Caenorhabditis elegans: one gene and its partner. The protein of the gene in region 1 interacts with the protein of each later gene in a pairwise test. Each region holds a gene or a part of one and is shown in the gene's direction. Other genes may lie near its edges.

Region 1 (6,517 bases):
TCTCCAACGACATCCTCCCCTCATCCGTCCGTTTTGCCCCTCCGCAGCTCTTTATCAATTGCCTTGGCCGCATCATCCGCGACCCACCGTACTAGTTATCTTTCTCTGTTTCCTCCATTCAATTGATAACACTAGAAAATGGCGCGCGTTCAACAAACACAGTGCCATTCTCCATTTCTAGCAAACAGTCCAGGTTTCGAACTGTTTTTTTTCTACATTGTGCAAAATGAGATTGGATTTCTTATCGACAGTGTAATAAAATCTTAGATACCTAGATTTTGTTTCTCATTTTTCTTTTTTTTTTTTCTTTCGGTTTTGTGATTTTCCTTTGGGTTTTTGCAGGTCTAGATTGTAAATATTCCCAAATTAACAGATTATGTAATGAGGATTCTCAAAAAATGTTCAACAATTTTTTATGGCGGTCTGAAATTTTAAAAACACCTAATTTTAATTAAAATTGGCTATTTTTTCATGTCTCAGCTGTTGGAAAATTTATTTTGAAGATTAGAATGTTTTTATTGCATATTGGTGATTTTCTTACATTATTTTGTTAATGAATGTACATTTAAAGCCCATACGTAATTGAAAATGGCCACAATCAACCCCCTATGATTTTTATGAGGTCTCATTATTAAATTTGTTCCTTTATGAACATTTTGAGTGCTTACAAGTAAAAACCCAAAACCGATACCCCTCCTTTAATCGAGAATAGTATTAGACCAAAAGTATCATCATTCACCGTTAGTATGAATGCAAACTTTTCAGCTTTTTTTCGGCTTTCACTTTCTAATTTCCTAAACTAGTTCTCAACATTGTCACTCACTCCGAACCTCGTTTCACAGTTTCTACTCTTTTCGGCTTCACACTTCTAGAACATTATCCGGCTGATTGCCACTTGGATGACAAGCGGGAAACAAGTACGCGAACACACGGTGGTGGGCGATAAAATGAAGTGAAACATGAATGACTCATATCATCACACTTTAAAAAAGATTCCCGTCTCTTCTTTTTCTCCTTTGAAAAATATTCCTTCTTCTTCCTCTGGCCCAGTTTATTCACCATCCATCATCTCCTAAACTTTGAAATCTTTCGTTTTGAAAACCAAAAAGCCATCTATCTTTTTCGGGTCAAACTCACGTCAGACGTTGGTTGCAGATAGGCTCTTTGAAGCAATAATGCAAATGAGAACTCCGAAGAAAAGGTCAAATTCTGGGTCCCACATTTTCCATAACTCCTACCCTGAGATTACTAAAAAAATATAGAAAAGCAATCCAATAGACGACCTCGAAAGGCGAAAGGGCCATGCTTTTTCGGTCCAAGATTACTCATAGCACTGGGTCAATGTCCTCTTTACACCATGTGTTGTGCATCCATTTCCCTGCCCGCTCCTATCAATTTCCTCTTTTGTTAGTCATAGTCCAACAATTTTTTTATAAGGGGGCGGTCAGCAATTTGTTCTTTCTTTTTCTGATTCTTTATTGTGATCGTTTTTCTATGTTTTTTTGACTCAACAAAACATGAATATTGGTTCCAATTTTCCTATTTTTCCAACAGTTTCGATTTCACTTGACAACGAAAATTCCTCCTAATTATTGTTTTCCTTTTTCAGTTTTACATTGCATACTGTATTCCTTCATTCTTTTTTGGTTTGATGCTTGTGTCTTCTTTTTCCAACAGTTTCAATTTTCCAGGCTTGCCAAAATGAAAGCTTTCTCATCGTATGATGAGAAACCACCAGCACCACCAATTCGTTTCAGCAGCTCGGCAACGAGGGAGAATCAGGTAATTAACTCGTCCCTCCACTCCTCCCCAAAGATGGGCGACAATCTTTCGAAGGTTCTTCTTCCAAATCAGATGATGCATGTGTTGCTTGCCCCTCTCCCACCCATCTCTATTTCTCTTTTTTCCATTCTCCATGTCTTGACTAACTCAATTTTTCAGGTCGTCGGATTGAAGCCATTGCCCAAAGAGCCAGAAGCAACCAAGAAAAAGAAGACGATGCCTAACCCGTTCATGAAAAGTAATATATTGCTCTTGTAACCATTCCTGATTTTCCTGTTTTTTTCAGAGAACAAAGACAAAAAGGAAGCGTCAGAAAAACCAGTGATCTCTCGACCGAGCAATTTCGAACACACAATTCATGTCGGATATGACCCAAAAACCGGCGAATTTACGGTCAGTATTTTTTCAAAAAGTTTTTGTAGCAGTTTTCCCACTCTTGCGTTACTTGCAAGATTATTTTCCAATGATGAACGAGTGATACAGCTGTCATTCTGACACCGGTCGCAACCGCTAATCGTACCAGATTAACGTGAATGCTAATAGTAAGCTAAAAACTAAAAACTACTACTTTTACTTTTTCCCTCAGTCAAAAAATCATTATAAACAAATCTCAATTTATAATAATATTTTGCAACCGTTAATTCAGTGCATTATCTTCTAAAAACGTGTTATTCTTGAAACCATGGTTAGTGTTAATAAAGCTTGCGTTTTTGAGACGTTTTAAGAAAACAAATCCATACGAGAAAAATTTAAGTGAAGCCAATTATCACGAACATGTATTCAACCAAAGATAGTTTCTTCTAAAGACCTATGAAATTGTCCCAATTTTTTTAGTATGAAGAGGTCTGTTTTGTCGAATAGACTTGAGAAACTACTGTAGAATCTTATTTATAAACTTTTCTCAGAAACTTTTGCTCCTTATCAACAATATAAATTTTCAGGGAATGCCTGAAGCATGGGCACGTCTTCTCACAGACTCACAGATCTCAAAACAAGAGCAGCAACAGAATCCTCAGGCAGTGTTGGACGCGCTCAAATACTACACACAAGGCGAAAGCAGCGGCCAGAAGTGGTTGCAGTACGATATGAGTAAGTAACCCGTAGTCAGTCTTGCTAATGGAGCTCATTCTTCTACAGTGTTTATAGATGACGCACCTTCTCGGACGCCATCATACGGACTGAAACCGCAACCATATAGCACATCATCCCTGCCGTATCATGGCAATAAAATTCAGGATCCAAGAAAGATGAATCCAATGACAACCAGTACAAGTAGTGCGGGGTATAACAGCAAGCAAGGAGTTCCTCCGACGACGTTTAGTGTAAATGAGAATAGATCGAGTATGCCACCGGTAAGTGGGAAGAATAATCTTGAAGTTCATATTGATTGCTTCAGAGTTATGCACCGCCACCGGTCCCCCATGGTGAAACTCCTGCTGATATTGTTCCTCCCGCTATCCCTGATAGGCCGGCAAGGACGTTGAGTATTGTGAGTAGAATTTTTGGTACTTGTGTATTACATGCCCTTAGTTTTAGAGTATTTTTTTAAGTTAAAAACAATAAAAACGTGTACCACATTTTTTATTTCTAGGTTTAGGAAATAATCTTTCTAAGCCTGGAGAGGAAAAATGTATATCACGTTTAAATTATATGGAGAAATGAATGAAAATTTAATTCAATTTCAAAATGAGGGCATGTAATACACAAGTACCGAATTTTTCCCAAGTTCTCTATAACATATAAGTATATTTTCAGTACACAAAACCGAAAGAGGAGGAAGAAAAAATTCCAGACCTTTCAAAAGGACAATTTGGTGTACAGGCCAGAGGTCAAAAAGCTAAGAAAAAGATGACTGACGCTGAAGTGCTGACTAAGCTCCGTACCATTGTGTCTATCGGAAATCCAGATCGAAAATATAGAAAAGTTGATAAAATCGGCTCAGGTGCATCTGGTTCTGTGTACACCGCTATTGAAATTAGTACCGAAGCGGAGGTGGCTATCAAGCAGATGAACCTGAAGGATCAACCAAAGAAGGAATTGATCATTAATGAGATTTTGGTGATGCGTGAGAATAAGCATGCAAATATTGTAAATTATTTGGATTCGTATTTGGTGTGCGATGAATTATGGGTAGTGATGGAGTATCTTGCCGGTGGATCATTGACTGATGTTGTCACGGAGTGCCAGATGGAGGATGGAATTATTGCAGCTGTTTGCAGAGAAGTTCTTCAAGCGCTTGAATTCCTCCACAGCCGCCACGTCATTCACAGAGATATTAAATCTGACAATATTCTTTTGGGAATGGATGGTTCGGTGAAATTGAGTAAGATTATAATTTTTAATGCTTTTGCAACCTACTTCTGTGAATTTCAGCCGACTTTGGATTCTGTGCTCAGCTCTCGCCGGAGCAAAGAAAACGCACGACAATGGTCGGAACTCCATACTGGGTGAGTGATGGAAATTGAAAAAGCGAATAGGAAATTAATGTTTGACAATTGCAGATGGCGCCGGAAGTGGTGACCCGCAAACAATACGGACCCAAGGTTGATGTGTGGTCCTTGGGAATCATGGCGATTGAGATGGTCGAAGGAGAACCGCCATATTTGAATGAAAATCCACTCAGGGTATGAAATATTTGCTTTTTTGAATTTAAGAAGACAACGCTTGATAATTGAAAAAAAAAACATGAATCTGAATATATGATTCCTTTCAATAACACTTGTGCTCGCAGAGTGTGAATGAGAAATGGAAATTTGTTGTTACAGCGATAAATTTGTTGCTTAATGAATTTCAAAAAAATCTAATTGGCCACTATTCCCTAGTAAGAATAGCAACCCCAGTTTTGCCCATAACGATCAGAAAATAATTTGGTTCAGGTTGAGGTCATGTTATTGAACAGGCGCCTAAGAAAAAATTTAGCAGAAACTTTACATTTTTCCGTAACTTCTCAGCTAACTTTAGCAACCAATCTCAAAAGTTGCAATAGTTGGGTAAAGTTGGTAAAAGTTAGGGATGACCCCCACCGCAAGATACAGATGTGCATTGAGAACTACCGAAAGCTGGGTAAACTTTGTTGAAAAATCGCTTAAGTTGAGAAGATTGAGACGTTGTTGAGAAGTTGCTGTAAAATGACGAGAAAGTTAAAGTTAAAGTTGTTTCAGCTATACTTAGGTTTTATAATTTTAGCTTAAAATTTCTCATCAATCAATATTGATCTTAAAAATATTTTTTTTCAGGCTATCTATCTCATTGCTACAAATGGCAAACCCGACTTCCCTGGAAGAGATTCCATGACTTTGTTGTTCAAGGTAAGAGAACTCGAGAACTTTCGAAACAGAAGATTTGATAAAAAAAATATTTGTTAACAGTTAGTCACAAATGTACAAAAGATGACTCAACTGCTACCGCAGTTTTACTTTACTTTCAGTACAGTATCAATTTCTCCCATTCTGTCCCAATTTCCAGGACTTTGTCGACTCTGCGTTGGAAGTACAAGTTGAAAATCGATGGTCGGCAAGCCAACTCCTTACGCATCCATTCCTCCGATGCGCCAAACCGCTTGCTTCACTGTACTACTTAATCGTTGCGGCGAAGAAGAGCATCGCCGAAGCTAGCAACTCATAATTATGATGATTGTATTCTCAATACACGACGTGTATTTCTTGTTCTTCTCAAATCTCAAGTCGTACTTACTTTGAAACTGTTTTCTTTTCTCTCCATCTCAAGTCATTTCTAACTATCTACTTTGAGCCCAACTTACCGTTTCCCAACAAAAAAGTCACACCTTAGTAATTTGTGTAATGTTTTCTGGAATCGATCACGAGTAAAAATTCAAGCCCCTTCATTATTTCACATCTTCCCCCTCTTTATCTCTTCTCGCAATGCACAATTTGGACTATCTCTTTTTTCTTGTTGTTGAGCGTTCCCAATCAGACGACACACTTCAATTATTTATGTAAGTTTTTTGTCTTCACTTTGTCTTCTTTTCATTCGGTTTCTTGCATTTGTGTCGTTCGAACGGAAATCTACAGTTAACCAGCTTTGCCCAAATTTCCCTATTTCTTTTTCAAGTGTCTGTAGGTGGGAACTATTGAAACTCTGTTTTCATGTGGTTTCCAATTTAAAAATCGGCCATAAGGTCAAAATCTTAAATTTTGTCTCATGACGTTTGAAACAATTGATCATGTTTAATAAAAGAGAGATGAATTTACTTATAGAATCAGAAAAGTTTTCAAAATAGTCAAATTTTGTTCAAGGAAATTGTACTATTTTCTTTTGAAAAATTATTTATTATTATTCCTGACCAGGTACATGGTATAAGGTAGTTTACCTCAAAAATTAGAAATGATAAATAGTTCATTTGAATGATTATGTTTAGACTATATATTTTATTCTAGAAATAGTTATTCTAGTAATTGCAGCAGCACAACTCAACTCCCACCACCACAATTTAGGTATATCTGAACTTTGTTGAGAGCAACTGTGCTAAAGGACACAAAAGTTACTCCAGAGGCTGATAATGTTGTCAGGCTGATTATTGATAATTTTAAAGGTTTTCAAGAACACGCACAACATATTTTAGCAAAACTTAAAAAATCAAGTCACATAACAAGTTGAATATGTGAATAATCCCTGTGAGTATTCTGGAACTATATTTTTCACCATAATAGTGATTGAAAGTTTCAGGAGCTTACAAATGTTTCATAGTGCTATAATGCCACTTTTTTCATATTTC
Region 2 (4,611 bases), 2.9 Mb from region 1:
AACGAAACGTCGCCCCGAGCTGTATCGAATTTCTTTGCCTCTTCTCAGAGTGTGACGAACTCGAAAACGAGAGAGAACTAATAGTTTTCATTTGTGTTTCCTTCTCCTTCATTGCCGTCCTTCACTCATGTGTCCGCAGGAAGTTTTCGAACGCAGGTGGCCTCCATCCGGCACTTGACAGATTTGGCGCGGCTCCCCGTTTCCGGTGTTTGCTCACTTTTGTTATGAACCAAAGCTTGACCATGTCACTTAAGAAAAAAGCCCTTGAAGAATCCCTTTTTCGGCTTTTTGTGTGGATGCTTTTAGATTTGATAGAATGGGGTCCCCTATTGTTTTAAATCATTCAGTTGTTTAGCGTAAGTGGATGTAGTTATTTGAGTTTGGAGGTTTTGTATCGTGGTTTTTAAACTAAAACGAATATTCTTTTGTGCAAAGAAATTTCTAATTTGCTCATTTACTCACTTTTACTTCCAAATTTTGAAGTTATGTTTTTTCGGTTATCCTTCCCGCTTTCCCGCTTCCCGTTTTAATAATTTCTGTCACTTTCTCTTTCATCATCACTTCTTCCGTTCCAAATCGATTACCCAATTTTATTGACAACACATCAGTGAAACTTGCAAATATTTGGAGGACATACTTTATACTCCATCTCCGAATATATACATAAATGTGTGGTCGGTGGTGTGTGTGTTGGCGGAGACCCCGGAGAGAGAGAGAGAGTCAAACTGCGAGTAACTGGAGAGATGGAGGATGATGCATTCGGTGAGGGACTGTGTGCTGTTGAGAGGAAATCGCTGGCATTTAATAGAAGAGTGCGTTTTTGTGAGTGTGTGTGTGTGTGAGTGTGTGTGAGGGCAGTCAGAGCGCGGCTGTGTGCGAGGCTGAGCGGGACGAGCGCGTCCAGGCCTGCAGTCGTCTCCCCTCTTGTTGTCTCTGCTTCTCTAGCCACACTCTCTCGTTCTCTGCATTCGGTTTTGTGTTGGTGTTGTGGACGCGGGGGTCGTTTTGGGCGATCGATAGCTGCCAGCTCTTCTTGTACTTGAACCAGTTGAAGTCATCTCCTTTTTTCACTTTGAGAGCATATTCTTTCTTGTTTCATCATTTTCAAAATTTGCTGCATTGTGCAAAACCCCTTTTTTGTAATGTCTCTTCTGTTTCTGACAGCTGTGTGTTCAATTTCAACACAGCTTGTAAACGGCGGAGTCGGAGTTAGTCTGACTCATCGAAATATTGTTATCAGTTCAAAAATGTTGACAGTTGTGTGGGCTGGAAATGGAACCACCTTTTAAAATTACTTTTGACATGATATACTTTTTGAGTAACACTTTCTTGGTAAATTTTCATTCGTAGAATTTATAAGCTTATTAAATTAAAGCCACAAGCTTTCCCATTTTCTATTATTTTTTGTCTCCCAGGTGATTCTTTTCCGCACTTCGTCATTATTTGTTCCCACGTTGTATTTATCCTCTAAAGCTCTCTCTGATTTTTTTTGTTACATTCTTCTCATTTATTTGCTCATTTGTTTCTGTTACGGTCTCTTCATAATCAACTTTCTTTCATTTTCATTTCTATGGAGGTTTTAAAACAATTGTTTTTCAGCGAAATAAGATTATGGCTGATTCGAATGACACTCATGCTCCACCAGAGCCGGTGCTAGAAGTACCGCCACCACAGGAGATTCGTATTCTGGAGACTGCTGATGACATTCACCAACGTCGTCAGGAAGTATTAGGTCACTATTCAATTTTCAAGGATCACTCGCAGACAAAACGAGATCGTCTCGAGGAAGCTCGTCAGTTTCAATATTTCAAACGGTTAGTTCTAAAATTTTGTTGGGTTGTCTAGAATTCTAATTTTTCTGTTAAAGAGATGCTGATGAGTTGAACGTTTGGATTCTTGAAAAGCTCCAGACAGCTCAGGAAGAAAACTTCAGAGATCCGAGCAATCTCCAGGTTGGTACCATCTTCTCATTATTTCTCAGTCGTATTCATCATCTATTTCAAAGTTATCTAAAACATAAATTTTCTGTGGTTGGTCCCCAGCTTTCCATTCTCAATCCTTTTTGACGACAACTCGCACAATTCTTTTCTCTTGGTTCATTTTCCCTCGGGGGGACACTCGGACCCCTTTCTTCTGCTGCCTTGTTTGGGGGCACACAAATGTCTTTTGGGAGCAACGACAAAGGCGCAGCAGCAAAAATATATTGATTTGAGTGGTTCGCTTCAGCGCTTTTCTCTGTGCCTTCGTTTCGAGAAACGCATCTGCGACCCCCAACATGCATGCTCACTTGAAGATTAGGAACTGAAAGCAATGTAGTGCACAATTACATTTATAAACAATTGGCTCGAGTAGAGAGGAGTACATGTGAATTTTGCTAACTTAGTTATTTTCTGGGAAGCAGAAAAGATGAAAATGAAATCTTTTTACACAATATCGTCATTTTGGAAGATATGAGCGCTAGAAATTAGGAGTTAAAAAGTCTTTGAGGAAACAATTTTTTACTGCTCCTAATATCATTCACCTTTACTTATAATGAAACACACTGAAAACCCAATAAATTCCTGTGGGGGTTCCAATTAATCCTCGCCGCCGTTTTTTATCATGCGTTCCGATCGAAAGATGAGATGAATACATATAGTAATAGACGGGAATCTATAAAAAGTCGGGCGTTCGTACACGGCCTTGACACTGCGTAATCGCAACTGACGTGACCTGACTTGATCCGCCGGTTTCCTGTAATGCCTGGAATGATAAGTAATACTGACGAGTAAGAAGATAGATGAGGCGATTATGTTTCTGTTGCTAGGTTTAGCGGTTGAAAAAAAAATGAGAGTAAGAGTTGACTAGTTTTGAAGCATGAATTGAAAGAGAAAATTTTTTTACATCAAAATGAAAGTATGATCAAATGTAAATCATAAAACATTTTCAGGCCAAGATCCAGAAGCATGAAGCGTTCGAAGCTGAGGTTCAAGCTCACGCTAAGACCATCGCCAACCTCGACAAGACCGGAAACGCTATGATCCAACACAATCATTTCGCTAGCGAACACATCAAGGTACTTAAAATCACTAAAGACATTTGACAGTCTGATGATTAATTATTTTCAGAAACGCTTGGAAGAGTTGCACGCCCTCTGGGATAAGCTCTTCTTCAAACTGAAGGATAAGGGAATTAAGCTACAACAAGCACTTAAACTTTTGCATTTTATTCGTCAATGCGATGAAATTCTCTACTGGATTCGAGAGAAGGAAACCTATGTCACCGCAGAAGACATGGGAATGGATCTCGAACACGTTGAGATACTTCAGCGTAAATTTGACGACTTTTTGAAAGAACTCGGTAACCATCAGTACCGAATCAATGAGATCAATCAAGCTGCTGACAAACTTGTCGAGGAGGGACACTCTGAGCACGATCAGATCTACAAGAAGCGCGATGACGTTAATGATGCTTGGCATCGTTTGAACACTTTGGCGGCCACTCGTAAGGAAGGGCTCTTTGGAGCTCATCAAGTTCAACGCTTCAATCGCGATGCAGACGAGACCCTTGCATGGATTGGAGAGAAGGATCTTGCTTTGTCAAGCGATGATTACGGAAGAGACCTCAATAATGTTCAAGCTCTTCAACGCAAGCATGAAGGAACTGAACGTGATCTTGCTGCTCTTGAAGGAAAGATGCTCCAATTGGAGAAAGAAGCTCATAAGTTGGCAGAAACTCATCCAGATCGTGCTGAAGCGATTCATCAAAAGAACGATGACACCAAAGCCGCCTGGAATGCACTCAAGGAGAAGGCTCAACACCGCAAAGATGGACTTGAGAGAAGCTTCCAGCTTCATCGTTTCTTGGCCGACTACCGTGACTTGATTAGCTGGATTGGAGACATGAAAGCTGTCATCGGAGCTGATGAGCTTGCAAAAGACGTGGCTGGCGCTGAAGCTCTTCTTGAAAGTCATCAAGAACACAAGGGAGAAATTGATGCTCGTGCTGACTCGTTCAACCAAACTGCATCCGCTGGACAAAAGCTCGTTGAGATGGGAATTCCAGAGAGTCCAGAAGTTCAGGAGAAGCTCGAGAAACTTGACCACGAGAAGTCTTCTCTTCTTGGATTGTGGGAGGAACGTCGTATTCTCTACGAGCAATGTATGGATCTCCAACTCTTCTATCGTGACACTGAACAAGCCGAAACCTGGATGAACAAGCAGGAAGCGTTCCTTGCCAACACTGATTTGGGAGATTCACTAGATTCTGTCGAGCACCTCATCAAGAAACACGAGGACTTTGAGAAATCGCTTGCTGCTCAAGAGGAGAAGATCAATGCACTTGACGAGTTTGCTACCAAGCTCATTCAAGGACAGCATTACGCTGCTGATGATGTTGCCGAGAGACGCCAAGCTCTTCTTGACCGTCGTCGTCGTCTTCTAGACAGAGCTCGTCAACGTGGAAATGCTCTCAAGGAAAGCTACAAGCGCCAGACATTTGACCGTGACTGTGATGAGATGGTTAGCTGGATCACTGAAAAACTGTCCACCGCTCGTGACGATTCTTACTTGGATCCTACCAACATTCGTGGAAAACTCCAAAAGCACATCAACTTTGAGCAAGAGCTTAAGG

Evidence for each region. Proteins that work in one complex are often made in the same cells at the same time.
Region 2: the proteins of pak-1 (region 1) and spc-1 interact in a two-hybrid assay, tested with the Caenorhabditis elegans proteins (one large-scale study listed by BioGRID).

What each region holds. Positions count from the first base shown.
Region 1 is NC_003284.9:6,043,783-6,050,299, reverse strand, and holds pak-1 (Serine/threonine-protein kinase pak-1), read left to right. Parts: upstream 1-1,695; 5' UTR 1,696-1,701; coding exon 1,702-1,782; intron 1,783-1,941; coding exon 1,942-2,020; intron 2,021-2,068; coding exon 2,069-2,175; intron 2,176-2,723; coding exon 2,724-2,871; intron 2,872-2,919; coding exon 2,920-3,134; intron 3,135-3,178; coding exon 3,179-3,271; exon of another isoform or gene 3,272-3,420; intron 3,421-3,537; coding exon 3,538-4,105; intron 4,106-4,155; coding exon 4,156-4,229; intron 4,230-4,283; coding exon 4,284-4,406; intron 4,407-5,018; coding exon 5,019-5,090; intron 5,091-5,247; coding exon 5,248-5,406; 3' UTR 5,407-5,991; downstream 5,992-6,517. UniProt on the Caenorhabditis elegans protein: Required for hypodermal cell fusion, together with cdc-42 and ced-10, leading to embryonic body elongation, which involves dramatic cytoskeletal reorganization.
Region 2 is NC_003284.9:3,124,062-3,128,672, reverse strand, and holds the start of spc-1 (Spectrin alpha chain), read left to right. Parts: upstream 1-1,611; coding exon 1,612-1,814; intron 1,815-1,867; coding exon 1,868-1,952; intron 1,953-2,929; coding exon 2,930-3,055; intron 3,056-3,107; coding exon 3,108-4,611.